2 linked regions of the Lepisosteus oculatus genome follow. The protein of the gene in region 1 binds, or shares a complex with, the protein of each later gene. Links are inferred from orthologs where the notes say so. Each region holds a gene or a part of one and is shown in the gene's direction. Other genes may lie near its edges. The genes, in order: strip1 and pdcd10a.

Evidence for each region.
Region 2: strip1 (region 1) and pdcd10a share a complex: the UniProt entries of both Homo sapiens proteins name them as parts of the core of STRIPAK complex. The link is inferred for Lepisosteus oculatus from reciprocal best matches to the Homo sapiens genes STRIP1 and PDCD10.

What each region holds. Positions count from the first base shown.
Region 1 is NC_090700.1:37,169,755-37,177,870, forward strand, and holds the start of strip1 (striatin-interacting protein 1 homolog), read left to right. Parts: upstream 1-4,870; 5' UTR 4,871-4,910; coding exon 4,911-5,018; intron 5,019-6,801; coding exon 6,802-6,871; intron 6,872-7,168; coding exon 7,169-7,243; intron 7,244-7,601; coding exon 7,602-7,736; intron 7,737-8,116. Other genes in the region: znf76 (zinc finger protein 76), read left to right, coding at 48-161, 704-808. UniProt on the Homo sapiens protein: Plays a role in the regulation of cell morphology and cytoskeletal organization. Required in the cortical actin filament dynamics and cell shape. Part of the striatin-interacting phosphatase and kinase (STRIPAK) complexes.
Region 2 is NC_090708.1:4,827,260-4,835,709, forward strand, and holds the start of pdcd10a (programmed cell death protein 10-A), read left to right. Parts: upstream 1-5,228; 5' UTR 5,229-5,367; intron 5,368-8,450. UniProt on the Homo sapiens protein: Promotes cell proliferation. Modulates apoptotic pathways. Increases mitogen-activated protein kinase activity and STK26 activity. Important for cell migration, and for normal structure and assembly of the Golgi complex.

The sequences.
Region 1 (8,116 bases):
CACTTTATTTGCATTTAAACTTTTTCCCCCTCACCTCACTCTTTCAGGTTGCAATAGTAACATCAGATGGCATGATAACTGGAACCTCTGAGCTGTCTGCCCCTCATTACCAGCAGGTGGCGCTGTTGGCCACAGCAAATGGCACACAGATTGCTGTGCAGGTCAGTCAAATTCAGCAAGGCAGTATCAAACCCTGCTTACACAAACAGCGCATCCCTCACTCTTTTCTTTATGTGAATCGAAGTAAATGTTGATTATTTATTTGTCTCCATGCAAAATGTCCTCTTTATTTTACTGTTGATTCCAAAATTGTATATAGAAATCTACAAACTTATTGTATCTGTGTTGAACCCTCCCAAATGGAAAAGGCCAGTGGCCTTTTCCTGCGGTGGCATGGTGTTCGAGCTGAGGGATAATCTTTACAGACTCCAACTCCCCCAGCCCTGGCAGTGATCAGCCACACGTGCCACTCTGCTTGGGGAATCCTGGTCACAGTCCAGTTAATGACACAGGTCAGAGCTAAACTGGTGATGTCAGGGCAACCTGTGGTCGGCGTGCACCTCCAGTATAAAGGTGGAGCCATTCTGGAGCTAAGCCTTTTTACCTTTTGTTTTGTGAGCATTGGGAAAAAACACAAAACTCTCTTTAAGCCTTCCCCTGACTTTCCAATGAATCCATGACGTTGTCTTGTGTGTCTGCCCAGCTGGAGGAGCAGCAGACCCTGGAGGAAGCCATCAGCTTGGCTACAGCTGCGATTCAGCAGGGGAGCGTGGTTCAGGACGAGGTGATAGCGCAGGGGGGCTGCTGAGGAGCAGAGACGGCGCACCGCACAGTTGCCCCGCAGCGGGGAGCAGCTCAGAGACTGAACAGGCCAGCCCCAGCCCGACCAAAGTGCAGAGACGGGAACAGGAGCCAACTCCCCATTGTCTCTTGCCAGCTTTAACACACAACTTCATCTTGGCAGGAATTCATGGCTCAAGTGTGGAGGTTTGAGAGGGTGGCGGAAGGGTCATGTGCTGTTCATCCGGAAAACGAAACAGCCCTTGACAATCTCCAGTTGAGCAATACAGAAAGCAGGAGAAAACTGTGGACATTTTTCCCTGTATTAAAAGTAAATAATAAAAACTCAGAACTGTAAGTGTCAGAAAAGGTCTGGTATAATAGTTTTATGTCTGACTTCAAACATCACCTTATCAAACAAGAGAATTGACTGTCTTATTTTTTTAAGTCTACTAACCTAATACATTTTAGAAGACTTGGTTTAATAATTAAACTTGTTTTATACATGTTTTATAGACTTACCAGGTTACTGGCAGGGTTACTTTTAGGCATAGGCAACAGGGGAGGCTTGGAGAAGCAATTGAGAAGTTAAGAGAAGCTAATTGCTTCACTGCAATTATAAAGTGACCAGAAGTAGTCAAGACCTCAGTTTAACAGCTCATCAGTAGGTTGGCACCCCTACGCCCCGGTGTCCCTGGTCTCTACACTTGGACGTTTTCATACAAAGAGAAGAGTGCTACCTACTGGTCCACAAACTGTTATGAACATAACCTTTCACCTGGCTACTTCTCATCATTGTGTGTGCTGCAAGATGTTTTAATTTAGAATAGAATGTTGTTATCTTTAATATCTCTTATCTTTGGCTGCTGGATCTGAGATTAATGTTAAGGTGTGGAATGTGGGAAATTAATACAGTTGAGACATTCCCCTTCAAGTGTTGTAACGTCACTAGGGTGACTCATCTCCAACAAACATGAAAGAGCTGAGCCTATGGCAGCAGCTTTTTGTGGAGATCTTGTGCCTCGACAAGGATTTCTGTTTCTTTTGTCTTCCTTGTCCCTTTAAAGTTGGGTTAGAAGGAAGACTGCAGTTTTCTGCTTAGGCTGGAATGACAAGAATGTTTTAGTTTCCATTTAATGTGTCATTTCACCTTTTCCTATTCTTTTACTCCAATGTTCAGATCATCATTTTGCTTGGGCCAAATGCAATCAATATTGGTGGAGGTGTGACATTATGCTGTTCCTGGAAATGTGTGTCATAGAGTGATCTGGTGGTTTCACTGCATTCACTGTACCTTTATCTGCGCTGGCAGAGTAAAAATGTTACTTGAGAGAAAGAGTGTGACAAACTATAATACTGCACGTATTGCGATCTGGGTTTCAGAGAGGAGCCAGGGGTTTTGCTAGGCATGTTCTTTCAAACTTTTATTAAATTTGGCAACCTGATCTTCACAGTGTACATGCTTCAGTATTTGTCAATCTCCCTTCAGATTCTCAAAGTACTAAGTACTAAAGAAAAATATTTTGGATGCATCGTTTTCAAATTCTGTCTCAAGTAGAATCTGAGAGCATGGAAGGTGTATAGTTTTCCTTTAAGTAATCTTGTCCTTTTTATAATGTCAGTGTTTTACAGATAGTGATAATTCCTTGCATTTCTGTGATGCTTTTGAGATCTTGGCAGTCCTTAAATAATTGAATAATTGGTGTACTTAATGAAAGCTCAGTCGTTGCCTTGCTATGGTATAACGAAGGGTCTTTACACCATTATTTCCTGGTGTTTTTCACACTAAAACCCCTCCACCGTCCCTAGAATGACCACCAATGCATTTTTATTATATGGGGTGGGGGTCCTCCCCGAAACCAAACAAGTTGAACATTAACACATGCTCCTCTCTTATCACAGTTGTATTATATAGGTTTGTCTACAGCTTCTGGGTACAGAATAAGAGCTCAGGAAAAGGACAGAGCTGCTTTGTTTTACCATTGCGTATCTTTTATTTTGTTCCAGGCCTGTTCTGGCACTACAGTGTTGCCTTGCAAGGCGTTTTGTATTTTGCACCAGTGCAAAGTTCAGACAACTGGAATATAACTTCTGAGGTTAAATCGTAAGTAAATGCAATACAGATCTTCCCAGCTGCACTGAATCTAAAATTGTAATGTTCTTGTCACTTTTGCGGTGGAGCAAAAGCTCACTTTATGAGGCCCTTTGTGAGACTGGGCCCTTCTTATGTGTGATGACATCTCTTTTTCATTGTTATTTTCCATCAATAAAAGGAATTTGGTTAATAATGTTTGGAGTGTGTCGTGTGTTAACCTTTGGAATGTTATTATCAGGAGTGCCAGGCTGTTCACTGTTTGTAGGGAGTTTGTATAAGGGAAAGGGTGGAACGGCGGCTGTTTATTGCTGATGTCTCACAGCTCTTGAGTCCTGGGTTTGATTCAATACTTGGGCACCTTCTGATTGGAGTTTGCATGTTTTCCCAGTGTTTGTAGAGGATTTAGTGTAGTAGTACTTAAAACACATGCTGGTTAGGTTAGAGTCAGTAAAATGTGGAAATGTGTGTGCCCTGCGATGGACAGATGTCCAAATGTTTTACCATACAGTATAGATGGGCTGAATCTCCTGTCCAGGGGATCCAACCTGCCTTGCATCCTACGATAGGCAGCCTGAATTAGGTTGTAGGCTGTGTCTGAAAATTTCTTTTTTTCTGGGTGGGGTTTGGGAGAGATGCTCTGAGACTTTGGCATCTTAAGACATGCAGGTTATGCATAGTGGCTCGCCTCCAAATTGTACCTTACCTCAAAGGGTAGTAGAGGCATTTTCTCAAGTGATTCAGCCTGTGTCGGATCAGTAGTTCTGCTACAAACAGCGTTCTTGTGCGCACAGCACTGCCAGGAATGGAAATAGGAAAATAACAGCTTAGCTATGTTGTTTTTTGGTATTTTTTTAGTTCCCTCCTTGGTGAGGGAAAGTTGGTGGGTATGTTATTCCATCTTCCTAGCCTCTCTGTATCCCTGTTCTTTTACTCCAATGTTCCTCCCATCCCCAAATCCCACCATTTAACCCCAGGGAAGGGCGATACTGGTCCCATAGCCCTGGCGTGTCAGCAGTTTTAATTCCAGCACAGCTCTGAATATCTAAAACAGGCTTGGGACCAATGTAACAACTCCATCCAGCTCTCGAGGTGCTGTTGCTTTGGAGAGATGGAGAAAGCCTGCATGCATATCCTACTTCCAGGTTTAGGATTTTACCCACTGCTGATTAATTCTCTTATATGGGCCAAACACAGGCAAAAGCCACCAGGCAAAAGCCACCAGAAACAGTCATCCCAGGAACACGTCATTGCTCTTATTTAGAGTCACTGTCTGCTCCTCAGGCTGGGACAGGAAATTGCATACTCTATACTGCAGCTCTATTGTGTTTCCTCCCCCTGGCCTAGGAGAATTGATAGCTGCTGTGCTTCTGGCAGGTGTGGGATTAGATGTTTATTCCTGGAGTGTGTATTGCAGTGAGAAAGGAATAGAACTTCCACAAACCAATCGTATGGCAGATCTGCTTTGAACCTGCAGGGGACCTTATTCAGAATACTCTATGGCAAAGGTAAAGTCAACCCAATTGGTTAGCTGTGAAAACTGGGCCATGAGACACAAGCTAATGAGAAGTGCATATTTCTGACTTAGAACAGGAGAAATAAAACCTCAGGTCCTTCGTCAGGTAGTCGGCATCAATTACATAGCAGCCAAATAGAAATAGCCCCATTGGTATGTGAGCTTCCTTATGTTCTTGTTTGAGATTTTTGAATATTACCATATTGAGTTACTAAAGTTAAAGTTTTATCATGCACCTGTAAGTCAGGAGTGCTTATTGCAAATGATTGCCTAAAAAGAAGGACCGCCAGCACGAATATCCCCTCTTTTTTAGGGGACCAGTCCGTATTTCACAGCGTCTCCATTAACACCTTAAAACAGCAGAACACAGCTGGTTCCGTGCTCATCCGCATTCCTCAGCCGAAATCTCGTGATGTTTCGTTGTCTTGTAGGCTTCTGCCTGTTGTGTGAGCAAGTAGACTCTCGCGAGATATGTGGCTGCCGGTGGAAGGGGGGCTGGATGGGTGTAGCAGGGAAGCAAAGATGGACGTCGGAGTTGGCGGAGCGTTGGTTGTCAACAATAAACAGCGAGCGATGTTACCCAACAAAGGCAGGGGCGAATTCATCCGAAATCAGAGAAAGGACTCGGAGGTAAGGGAGGGGGTGTTGGTGCGATGCGATTTGTTTTTGAAAACAAGCTATCTTAACGTTCTTGGCTTAAGAAGAACATACACAGGATACAGCCTTGGTTGCGCTTAGTACATACAGCAGAAATACTCGCGTGAACCTTAAAAAAAGACCCAATAGCTTCGTGTGCATTTTATATATTGAACTGATCTTCTGTCGTTATTGTGTGAATGGGGAACGCGGGGAAGAGAAAGCGGAGAAGCGACGTTATTAATGCAACACGTAGCAACTAATGGAAAGAAGTTCGTCTCCTGCTGTACCACTTGGTGGTATTCGCCCTTGAAATATTTCCATTCTAGGCATTATTTTATACTGTTAATGTATCCCTAAATTAATAGGCGTTGTGATTTTAAAAAGCACAGACTGAAACGCAGTGTATATCATGGGGATTTTGGCAAAAAAAAATCCACATCCCCGGTTTCATTCTAGCCGGTGAGGAAGGATGGGAACTGGCGTTGTCATGGGAACCCGGTGCTGTCGCGGTGGTTGGAGGGGGATTTCAAGGCCAGATCGCGTACCACAGTAAAATGAGGACAGATGGGATATAATGTTCCCTTAATCTGGCAAGACATCCCCCCACCTTGGCCAAAGAGGTGCTGCCAATATTATGACACTTTCGTCTAAAATGACGAAATGCATAGGACCAATCTAAAACGTCCGGGAGCTAGTAATGGACTCGTTAAACACGGTCTGTACAACTACTACAATAAAATGGTGTTAAATCATAATCTTAAGTAAATGCAGAGTGGCATGGAGGTTAGTGAGGCACTAGGGTATCTTCCATGTGGAGCATGCACAGTCTTACTTTGGCGTGTGGGATTTCTATAGGCATTGACCACTATCTTTTCATTTTTTGCTCCAGGCTTATTGATTTCAGATTTCTTACTGGGACATGTTTAAAATTTGTTGTTACCACATTGACTGAGGTTTGTAATTGGTAATCAACCTGAACCTTGTACTTGTTTTGGTGCTCCTCCTCATCGATGTGTGTATCCCCTTAAATATAATCCTGTTGGCTTCTACAGAAGGAAATACAAATTTGATGCATTGCCAGATTATTCTGAATTAGTCTTTTGAGGGGTACATTTTTAGTATCCGGCATTCTCCCATACACTAAACCCCTCATCAATTTTCTTGGATTGATCACTGATATCTAAAATTCTGGGTAACAAAACCACAGCCTCAGTCTGTTCACTAGTTATATTAAGATCAGAACTACACGCCTGTATGCTTAGAGTAATGTGGGTGGCAAGGTTCGATTCTAGCTATGGGTGCCTGTCTGTCTGGAGATTTCATGTGCCCCTGTGTTTGTGTGAGTTTTCACCAGGTGCCATTATTTCTTCCAGCTTCCTAACTGAATGCGGGTTAGGTTTAGTTTAGGATTAGGAGGCTTTAAATTGACTCTTTCCAGATGAAGAGTTTCAGGAGGATTTGCCTTGGAGGAGGTTTGTTCCCAGTACTGGCTTTGTGATTACAGTGAAACAGAAGTCAATGGGCTGGATGGACTTAACAGTAAAATAACTGGCTTCTGAGAAAATTGGCCCTGGTGTGAGTGTGTGCATGTTTATGCCTGTGACTGTGGGGCTCTGTGATGGACAGCTGTCCTACATTATCTGTGATTGGATAAAGTAGTTAGAAAATAGAAGCATGAAGTTTGGGGCCACTGACTTGTACACACAACATGTTGTTGCTTGGCTACAAAAGCAATCCTGAACAGTCAGACAGAAGTTGTGTTCATGTTTTCCAGGGTTTTTCTGAATCTCCTGATCTAGAGTTTGAATATGCTGATACAGACAGATGGGCTGCAGAGCTTTCAGGTGGGTTGGATATTTAATATATTATCTTCTGGGTGCTTAAAAATATAGAAGCTTAATTTCACAAATATTCCTAAAGAATATTTTTATTGCCTTTGTACAAAATTGGAGCAGTCATGTTTTAAATTGCAGTATTTTATTTTTTTCTTCTGTTGTTCTGTAGCTAAGACTACTATTTCCTTATGATTGTTATACTGGACAGTGATCTTGTTTGTCACGAGTCAGTTTTCACTAGATTGCACTGTGCCCTGTCTTGTTTTCAAAACCAATATTGGTGTCTTTTGTTGGTTTGTTTTCTAGAGCTGTATAGTTACACAGAGGGACCAGAGTTTCTGCTCAACAAGAAGTGCTTTATTGAAGATTTCAGGACACATGGTACTTTTGGTTTAAAACAAGGAGAACATCTGTTGAGTGGTTAATGTACAGCACCACAGGCTCTGCTTGATTACTGTTTTCATGCAATTTATATTTCTGTATACACCGTGTCTAATATTATTTTGCATTTATTGTATATCATTTCTGTAATATCACTGTCTAATACTCATTTTTTATAGATACAGCACGGGTTTTAAATATAGCATTTTAATATACAGTAGGAGTGAAACATTGTATCAGAATCCAACACAGGTTCACAGGTTCCCATCCAATCAATGTTCACAGATGCAGTGATAAACATGGCTTTGAGCTCGAAGTCCTTCAGGCTGGTCATCAGTTCTATGCTTTGCCTTCTCAGTGACAGATAAGAAATGGACAGAACTGGACGCCACTCAGCACAGGGCCCATGCGATGCGGCTCCTGGATGGGCTGGAAGTGACGGCCAGGGAGAAGAGGCTCAAAGTAGCCAGAGCTATTCTGTACATGGCTCAGGGTAAGTCAGCAAATAGCTCAGGAGTAGCAGCTTGTGGCACTGTCTGCCTCATTAAGGACTGTCCTGTGACTGCTATGGTGTGATACAATTGGGAAAGAGTCTGTATTGCACAAGCTAAAGGGCATTTTCTTTACATTGAGTTGGATATTGAAATTATTGTGTTACAAGCAAAAAGAAGGAATTTTACCCTAACTTGTTCATTTAATCACTGATATAAATATTAGCCAAAATCTCAGTCAGTTGCCTCTTGAACAATTCCAGCGTGTTGGCTTCAGTGCCTTGCCTAGGCAGTTAGTTTTAGACACCACCTTCATAACATTCCAAAAGGAAAGGTATTAACTCTAGAAATCTTCAATTGCTTCTTAAATGGAGAGGGTGTT
Region 2 (8,450 bases), on another chromosome or scaffold:
ATATTTGCAACAATATCCTATGAGATTCTGTACAATTCTGAACAGACTGATGTTAAAAATTATTATACAATTTTGCAGGTATAATCTCTATACAACCTTACTGTAAATCTGCAGTCTGATTTGTCTATCATACCACTCACTCCCCAACCCACACACATTCCTCTTTTTTGGGGGTCTGAATCGCATTGATCCTCATTAAAGCAAAACTGTTTACAAATCAAAAGCAAAAGAACAGATTACATCAGATCAGTCTTAATTACTCTTTTGAAGTCAGGGTTAAAGGGTTTGCTCTTTAAAGCACAGGACAAAGACTGAATAAAGTTCATTCTTTGAAAAGGAAACCCTAACATCCAAACTCTTCTTCTTAAAAATCCTTTTCAACACAATGTTTTGCGTTTTGAAACGAAAGGCCACATGGTAAAGAGACACACCAAAGAAAAGAATTATTATCAAAAATACCAAGATCTGTTAAAAATGAATTAAAAAAGACAGGTGTTAGGACTCCATTTCACCTCCTTTCAGCAATGGATTCCATGTGCAGAATAGAGCTGTGGAAATGTGGCCTCCAGCATTCTCTGGGAGCTGCTTAAGATTTGGAAAAGAGGATTTTGCGATACACTTTTAGAGACAGAGAGACTCTTGAGGCAATCTCAACCCTTGCCATTTTAGGATTACAGAGGACAGCTATCATAGATTTTGCAGTGCTGTCTGCATAAACTCCAAATTACAGCTTTTGTTCTTAAGGCAGGCACTTCGGTCACAACATGGGAGGTTACTGCTGTCTGTCCTGAGAAAGTAAAAAAAAAACAGCTGGAAGGGTCACTTTAACACAACACCAAACGAAAATAAATGCTACAGATTCCAGTCAGAGGTACAAACAAAGGATAAACAGCATAAACACAGACCACAGGCTTGGGCAGCTGTGTCACTCATTGTAGATTAGCATTTGCAAATACAAGGTTTTTTGTGCAGACATCTCATTTCAACCAGATCATGTCAAAGGTTAGAAAGATTTTCCACCACATATTGAAAAATTGCCTATCGCAGCTCACTCCCACCTTAATCCATACACCTCAATGTGCTTACTGTATTGTATATTAAAATCAAACATGTAATGAAGAATTGTCATGTTACAATCCTCCCACATACTGCAGATGTCCTACTTCAGTGCTGCACATTATTATACCGGACTCATTCCTGGTACCTGGGATGTCTAGCCAAAACAGGCTAGAAGATTCTTTATTTGTGGAATCTGACAATCAAGAGTGCCGACAGCAGCACAAAAAAACAGCAATGGACTGTTTATTAATTCACCACAGAAACCAACAGAATAACAATCAGGTTTTCCTCATCGTAGAAAAAAAAAACGTTCTCAGTCCGACTTAAAAAAAAGCTTCAGTCTTCTCTACCGCACATCTGTTCGGGCTCATTAATCATGATAGCTCTGATTCTGTAATGAATGAAATGCATACATATCCCCATAGGGTTACCCAACTTAACCCCCGTCAATCGTCAATTGATGGCAACCTGCTTTGATCACCGTTGCAAAAACCCTTCACCATAATTTAGATTCTCCAAAAATAAATTAGAGTATTCCGTACACTCCTGCACAATCTTATCACAGCAGGCAATCGCAGTGACAGGTCCGATCCACAGATTTAACAAGAGGTAGTGGAGTTTTCTTATCCCAAGTTTAGGAGGAGCAGGGAGGGCCAGTGTAGACAAATCCACAGTCTATTACAAGTCCCATCAGTTTCCTTCCCTTACTTGTTACCACATTCCTTCTAACACCAATCTTATCGGACCGAAGATGGGAAAGCACCTCCATCTTCAGCGTTCTGACCCATTGCTCATTATGGGCGTTACCGACATGATTCAGCAATGGGAAAAGGAGACAGGAATAAATCGATATAAACCATCATTCTGCATCAGGGGCTAGCATGACCATTTTATTACAGCATCGGTTCATTTAATTTATTTCTCAAGCAGACGCGTAACTGAAATACTGTTGAGGGTAGGGGTTCCCCATGCAAGTCAAGAGCACAAGGCAACTGCTCGATGTTACATTTCTAAAAGAAATTCTTCAGCAACTTATTTTGAAAAACAGCAGTATTTTATTTGATTCTACGGCTACATTGGAAAGCAGATTCCTTCACTCTTCAGAATTATTTAGTTTTATTTGAACTTACTATCTTACCTTTCTAATACACGTCCCCTGACCAAACAGCACTCAGGCACATAATGATCATGCCTGATGCTGGATACCTCATTGTTAAACAAAGTTGCTTTTAAATTAAAAAGAATGTATTAACGCATGCAATGCTAATTCAATTGGATGCCTTAAATTGGACCTTTTTTTTCCAGGCCAACATTAGTTCTTCATTTAGATGATACCAAAAAACAAACACTGAAACTTCACTGATGGCAATGCACCTACTGTATATACTTAAAACATCACCAAATACAAGAAGGTGATATGGGAATTTTTTTCCATTCCATGACATTCCTTCTCCTTGTGATCCTGAATGCTAATGACAACAGACTGTCCTTCAGAGAGATGCAAAAGCAATTAAACTTTGAGCTCCATCTCTACCGCCTCAAAGCATAATAAGCCAAATCGTGTGCAAATGAATTTGATGCAGTTTCATAAATTTACTCCAGACACATACCCGTCTTCTGTTTGTGTAGATGAATGCGCCATTTTATGTTGTTCGGGGCAGTGTGATGAAAGGGCTCATCTGGGAGATTAAGTTAAGCTTTTTTTCCAGCAACAGCTAGGAGGTATTATTCTGTACTTCCTGGCACCCTTCTGAGGAACATTCTAAATAAACTCGATTTTCGTAGCCCCACTTAAGTTTGCTTAGCACAATTAATAAATAAACCACAGGATTAATTAAATAAAAGGTCAACGGGAGCTTTAGAAATTATTAGAAACTCAATATGTGAATATTGCTAGGTTTTCCAAGCAGCCCATACTGCGGTAGAAGATATTTATCACTAGAAATGGGGATAAAAAAGGCAATTCAATCTCTATAAGAAGCAAACGTTGTTTTAAATATGACCAGACTTTAGATCGTTAAAGCAGGGCTTAATGTGCCAGGGTTATAGAAACCCACTTCTTTAACAAAGCATGCATGTCTCCTTGGACTTTTCTGTGCCTGAATAACTTTCTTAGACACCAGTGAGAGCTGTGCTTCAGAGATTTAAACAGTAATTGGATCTGCTGCCGTTTAGATTAATTGAGCTGAATAAAAGACTTGAAAGCTCTGAAAGGGATGTAGTGGCTTTTAAAATACACACAACCAAAGTGTTGTGATGTTACACTGGTAAAATACTGTATGCAAAACAGCAATTCATGAAAAGAATAATACTAAAAAACCTGAAAAAGAATCGATAATATATTCCTAAATTATTTGCCATAATCAATGACTTGATGTATGTTTACTGTCACACAGTTTCACAGAAAATGAAATGGTTCTAGAATTAAAAATTAAAATAATCTGATATCTTTTTTTTTTCTGTAACGCAGGGGCATTTCCGTCCTCTGCCTGCGCACAGATGGAAGAAAAGCCCCTACTTGCATGTGAAGATTTAGTCGGTATTAACATGACGCAAATTAAAGACCTCACAATGTTAACACAATGTTCCGTTTTTGTTACGCTAAAACGGAAACTGCTCAGTGATTTTAACATTACACTTAGCGAAGGTTCAAGTCGAATCCACGATTTCTAGGGGGGGGCGGGACATTTTTTTTATCGTAAACAGATTGGTTGCTTATTTTGTGAGAATAATTTTTGAAGGTGTGAAATCCACACCCGTGCTAGGAGACACGCCAGAATTTTAAAAAAACTAAAATCTATACAAATAATAAATTTCTCCAACAACGTACACACCAGCAAGGACAGTAACAAAATAAAACAGTATTTAACTAGCTGCTTGTTTGACACGTACTGTATACTAGAGGATTTAAACTCGCATACGTACATCAGAATAGTGCGATTCAGGAAGATCTTGTGAATATATGTTCTTGCCATGTGGTTATATACCAATTTAACGTACTAACGTTTTACACCCAATTTTACGTCTCACTTTTTACTTTTTAGGTGGATTATCTACAGATCACAAATGCCAAGACGTTTAATCTTTAAAAATATACATTTACAATGTCACGAGAACGTCGGCTTGGCAACGGATATATAGATATACAGCATTTTACATAACATACACAGCTTTTTACGTGAAATGTAAGAAGATAAGAATTCGGAAAGCTAATCCGTTCATTTGTATATTCTCTACGCCATTCACGTGTATCACGAGTTTAATATAAACTACCCAGGAGTCATGCACACCGTCGGCTCGTACATTATTAATATGAGATTCGGAAAATAACTTCACACACAGGAACACACAAGAATAGGTATCAGGAGAACAAAGGACCACTTTGCTATTCGCAACCCGCCTCTCTTGGTAACTAAAAAAAAAAGGCAGATTTTAGTCATTGCACAGCTAGTAAAAAAGAAAAACCCCAAAAGCCAAGAACTGGAGAGAAAAATAAACTTAGCCCTCTAAGAATAAAAAAAACCCACAGACACATCATTGACAGCGATGCTTCAGTTAAACGGAGAGCGATAATGACAACATGTTGATTCGTTTCAGCACAACGAATTAGGACTTGGTTTGACATTATAAGGCATTTAAATCCCTTCCTTACCAAGTGCTATTCTGCTAAGGATGCTTAGCTACAGTAGCACTCCGCCTCTCGGTGATGCTTATTCCTTTTGGACGCCGCGGCAGGTTCAAGACAGACCTAAATATTTTCACAGCCCGATCCCGCCTGCCTCCATACCCATTGGCTACCTCTCCCGTCCTACCTTCACAACACGCTAGCCTTTATGCTAGCCGTATTTCCTCTAGCTACTTCGAACTGCGAAGGGGTGGATTTCAGACCTGTCAGTGAAGATCAATCGGGCTGCTATCGCGTAGTAAAAAAAAAAAGAGGGCAAAGAAATGCATGATAACATGCGAAACCCGCTGTAGTCAATGAGCTACCCATCCGTGCACTTTATTGGCCGAGAGGAGTGTCACTCACTGTGAGGGGGCGGGGACGCGGAGGCGGCGAAATGCTTTCTGGTACTTGGAGTTTTATAGCACGTAAAGCGCCAATCTTCGCCGCATTAGAAAGGCTCTCCAAAGACTACAATTCCTACTACCGACCTAGCCGTCTATAAAGCTTTTTCTGGTTGGTGTACTGGGGACCTCGCCTCAACTCCCTGCGTCTCTGGTCAGGCAGAAAACTTCCGTCTTCGGTAAAAAAAAAGAACACATAAAAACGGAGTTTGGGGGCTTATTCGGGACGGAAAGAAGCAGGTACGTACTAAATATCAAAAACCGCGCTGAACGTCTCCTTTTTCTGCCAACTTCGTGTCGATGGGTTGTCACTCTTCGAGGTGCCCAGTGAAGTAGTTAGCGAATAGGTATTTCTAATAATGCTGTTGTTATTAATATCGTTAGCTTTCGTCTCGTTGAAGGTTTCCTGGTTCTAGCTTGTCCCCCGAAACAACATCCGCCTGACCGGAATCGGAACCGCCCGGGTCTGATACCGAAAGGCACCTCGTCCGAGTGAGCCAGAGGTCTACGGGCCTCGGCTCGGCCTGTTGTTGTTGGCGCGGAACTCGGTTAGAAAGGTGTCCGCCGGCCCAGCCCTGGGAGCCGGGGGGCTGGTCCCTCACCTGCCGGCAGCCCAGGGACAAGCCCGGCCACCCAGGCCTTGGTATGCGGATAGGACAGATTTTAAAGAGCTGTTTTTTCCGGGTTCTATACGTCCTCTCCTGGTTGTTTGAAACGACATAGCTATCGCGCTTAGATACAGTTTCGCGTCTCATTTTAAGCTGGAAAAGTTTCCAGCAGTGATCAGTGAAGCCTGGCTGGTGATTACCAGCCTGAACTGAAGGTGCCGTATTTCCCATTTTCTGTTTAAACCCGTGACAGCTTTGGAGATGGCAGACCGCCTCGGAGTGAACAGTGCGGTGAGAACAGTAACAATCCCAAAAGTGAATTAAACACACAGCAGGGTCAAATCTCGTTTCGTGTTCTTTATAGTTCGACTAGTGATGTTAAATCGCTACTTTAAAATGGGTTGCATCTGTGCGTTTCGCATTAGTCATTAAGCTATATGTGCATGCGTATCAGTTATGCTGAAATAAATAGTCTCAGAACTTTTAGACTTTTAGAATCATGAGAATATGATAGGAATTGATAGTGATATTTAATACCTCGCCTTACTGAGTTTCCTAACAGGTTCCTTCAGGCTGGGTTCAGCAGTGTGTGAAATGACTCTGTGGTCATCAGGCTTCTTGTCTTTTCACTTTCTAGAATGAACATCATCAGCTCTTTTTTTTTATTCCCTAAGCAGTTTTCAGTAATGCTTCAAAATAAATGCCCGGGATGTGACCTGCTCTTTATACAGCACTTTATGGGAAGCTGATTGCCATCAGTAAGTGTTTGGGATGACCCAAATTCAGTTTGGAAAATATTTATCTCAGTGTGGAATTTAATAATTGAACCAGCTGTATGCAGATATTCCCATAATGGGAAATGTGCTGTCCTCCCTCCTACACTGTATTGGTAGATGTGTGAATGATTATACTGTCATTTGAATCAAATCCCTGCCGGTACAACCTGCTATATATACTTAGCAGCTTTGATTTTTGAATCCCAATTTCCAATGCTGCGGAACATACGTTCAGCTTAAGCTACACATTCTTCTTGTGTCGGGGGCTACGTGCTGCGTGCAAACGTTTTTCCAGATTTTGTAAATGGTATTTGTAAATACCAACACTAAATGGTATTTGCCAAATCTTATTTACTGGAAGACATTTGACTATCAGGACTATGATTTGGGTGTGACTTCAGGTGACCTGAAGATCTTTCTTAGGAAAAGCTTGTATATTTTACTGCACACCTTGTGAACACCTGTTCATATGAGGTTGTACTTAAATTCTGGGGCCCTGGAACTATTCCCATTACAGAGCACTGGCTGGGGTGCAGAAACAGAGCCATCCAGGATAAGACTGAGGTTCTTGTCACTTCTAACATCCCAGATTTTGCTCAAAGAGTTGTTGTGTAGGCGAGTTAGGCAGAGGACTCCCAATCAAGTTCCCTTCTCCTGCTGATAATATGCAGCACTGACCACTCCAGTGTGTTCAAGGAATAAGAACATACCTCCCTGTATATTGGGGCGGAGCGGTGGCTCTCTGGCTAAGGATCTGTGCCTGCCTGTGGCTGAAAGGTTGCCAGTTCGTATCCCATGGCCGGCACAGGAATCCGACTCTGGGGCCCTGAGCAAGGCCCTTCACCCCAACTGCTCCAGGGATGCTGTATAAATGGCTGAGCCTGCTCTGACCCCAAGCTTCTCTCCGGCTGTCTGTCTCATGAAGAGCAAGTTAAGAGTATGTGAAAAAGACAAATTCCTAATACAAAATCCCGTATATGGCCAGTAAAGTGATCTTATCTTGTATCCAATCCTGATTTAGTGCATTGATTAAATACTTGATCATTTAAGGCAGTAAATTTAAGAGTGCAGAAAAAATTGTGATGTACGTTGTTTTTTAAAAGAGCTGTGTGGGAATGATTAGATTTTTTTCTTCCGTTTTCTGTTTTTGCTTATTTGGTAATATTTCAAAGACAATTCAATCTTATTTTTGCAACTATAAAGGGGTTTTGTTCTATCTCCGTGTACTACCCCTACCCTGACAAGCAAACTGGACAGAAAGCAGTCCTATTGACAGAGGCACTGAGAGAGCCTAACTGCAATTTCTGTATTCAACTGAAATGCATGCCGGTATTAATATTGAATTCACAATCAGTTGAAAGATGTCAGCAGATTTAACAACATGCACAAGAATAAATTAGGCAGAGACTGAGACTGTGAAAAGGTGAAAAGTGGAAGTAAACCTGGACAGACATGAAGCATCCAGAGCTGGTCAAAGGATTTATAGGTCCTAAGGACGATGGCGCCTGAACCTGTCAAAAGCAGAGAGGGAAGTGGAGGGTTCATTGCTTGTTTGTTCAACAAGCAGTTTATTGCTTTTGCTGTAAAATCCACCTCACAAATGCAGCTTGTATCAGATGGAACTCAAGATTGGAGAAATGTGCACACTTCTTAACGGACATAAAAAGTGACATGCTCACTTACAGTCCTGCCAAAAATGGAAGGAACTGGCTACAGTTACATTTTACTTAAAATATAACACTATTAATGAGCGTGGTTCAGGTAAATGTTTCATGCCAAGCATCTGACCCTTTCTTGTCTTAACTGATTAAATGTCCAAGAAAATTTTATATCTGATGAAATTCCCCATTCATTACCTGGGATGAATTTTTTACAGTGGGACTCCTTTTTTTATTAACCATTACAAGTGGAGCTTTATCATGAGGAAACAAACGTCCAG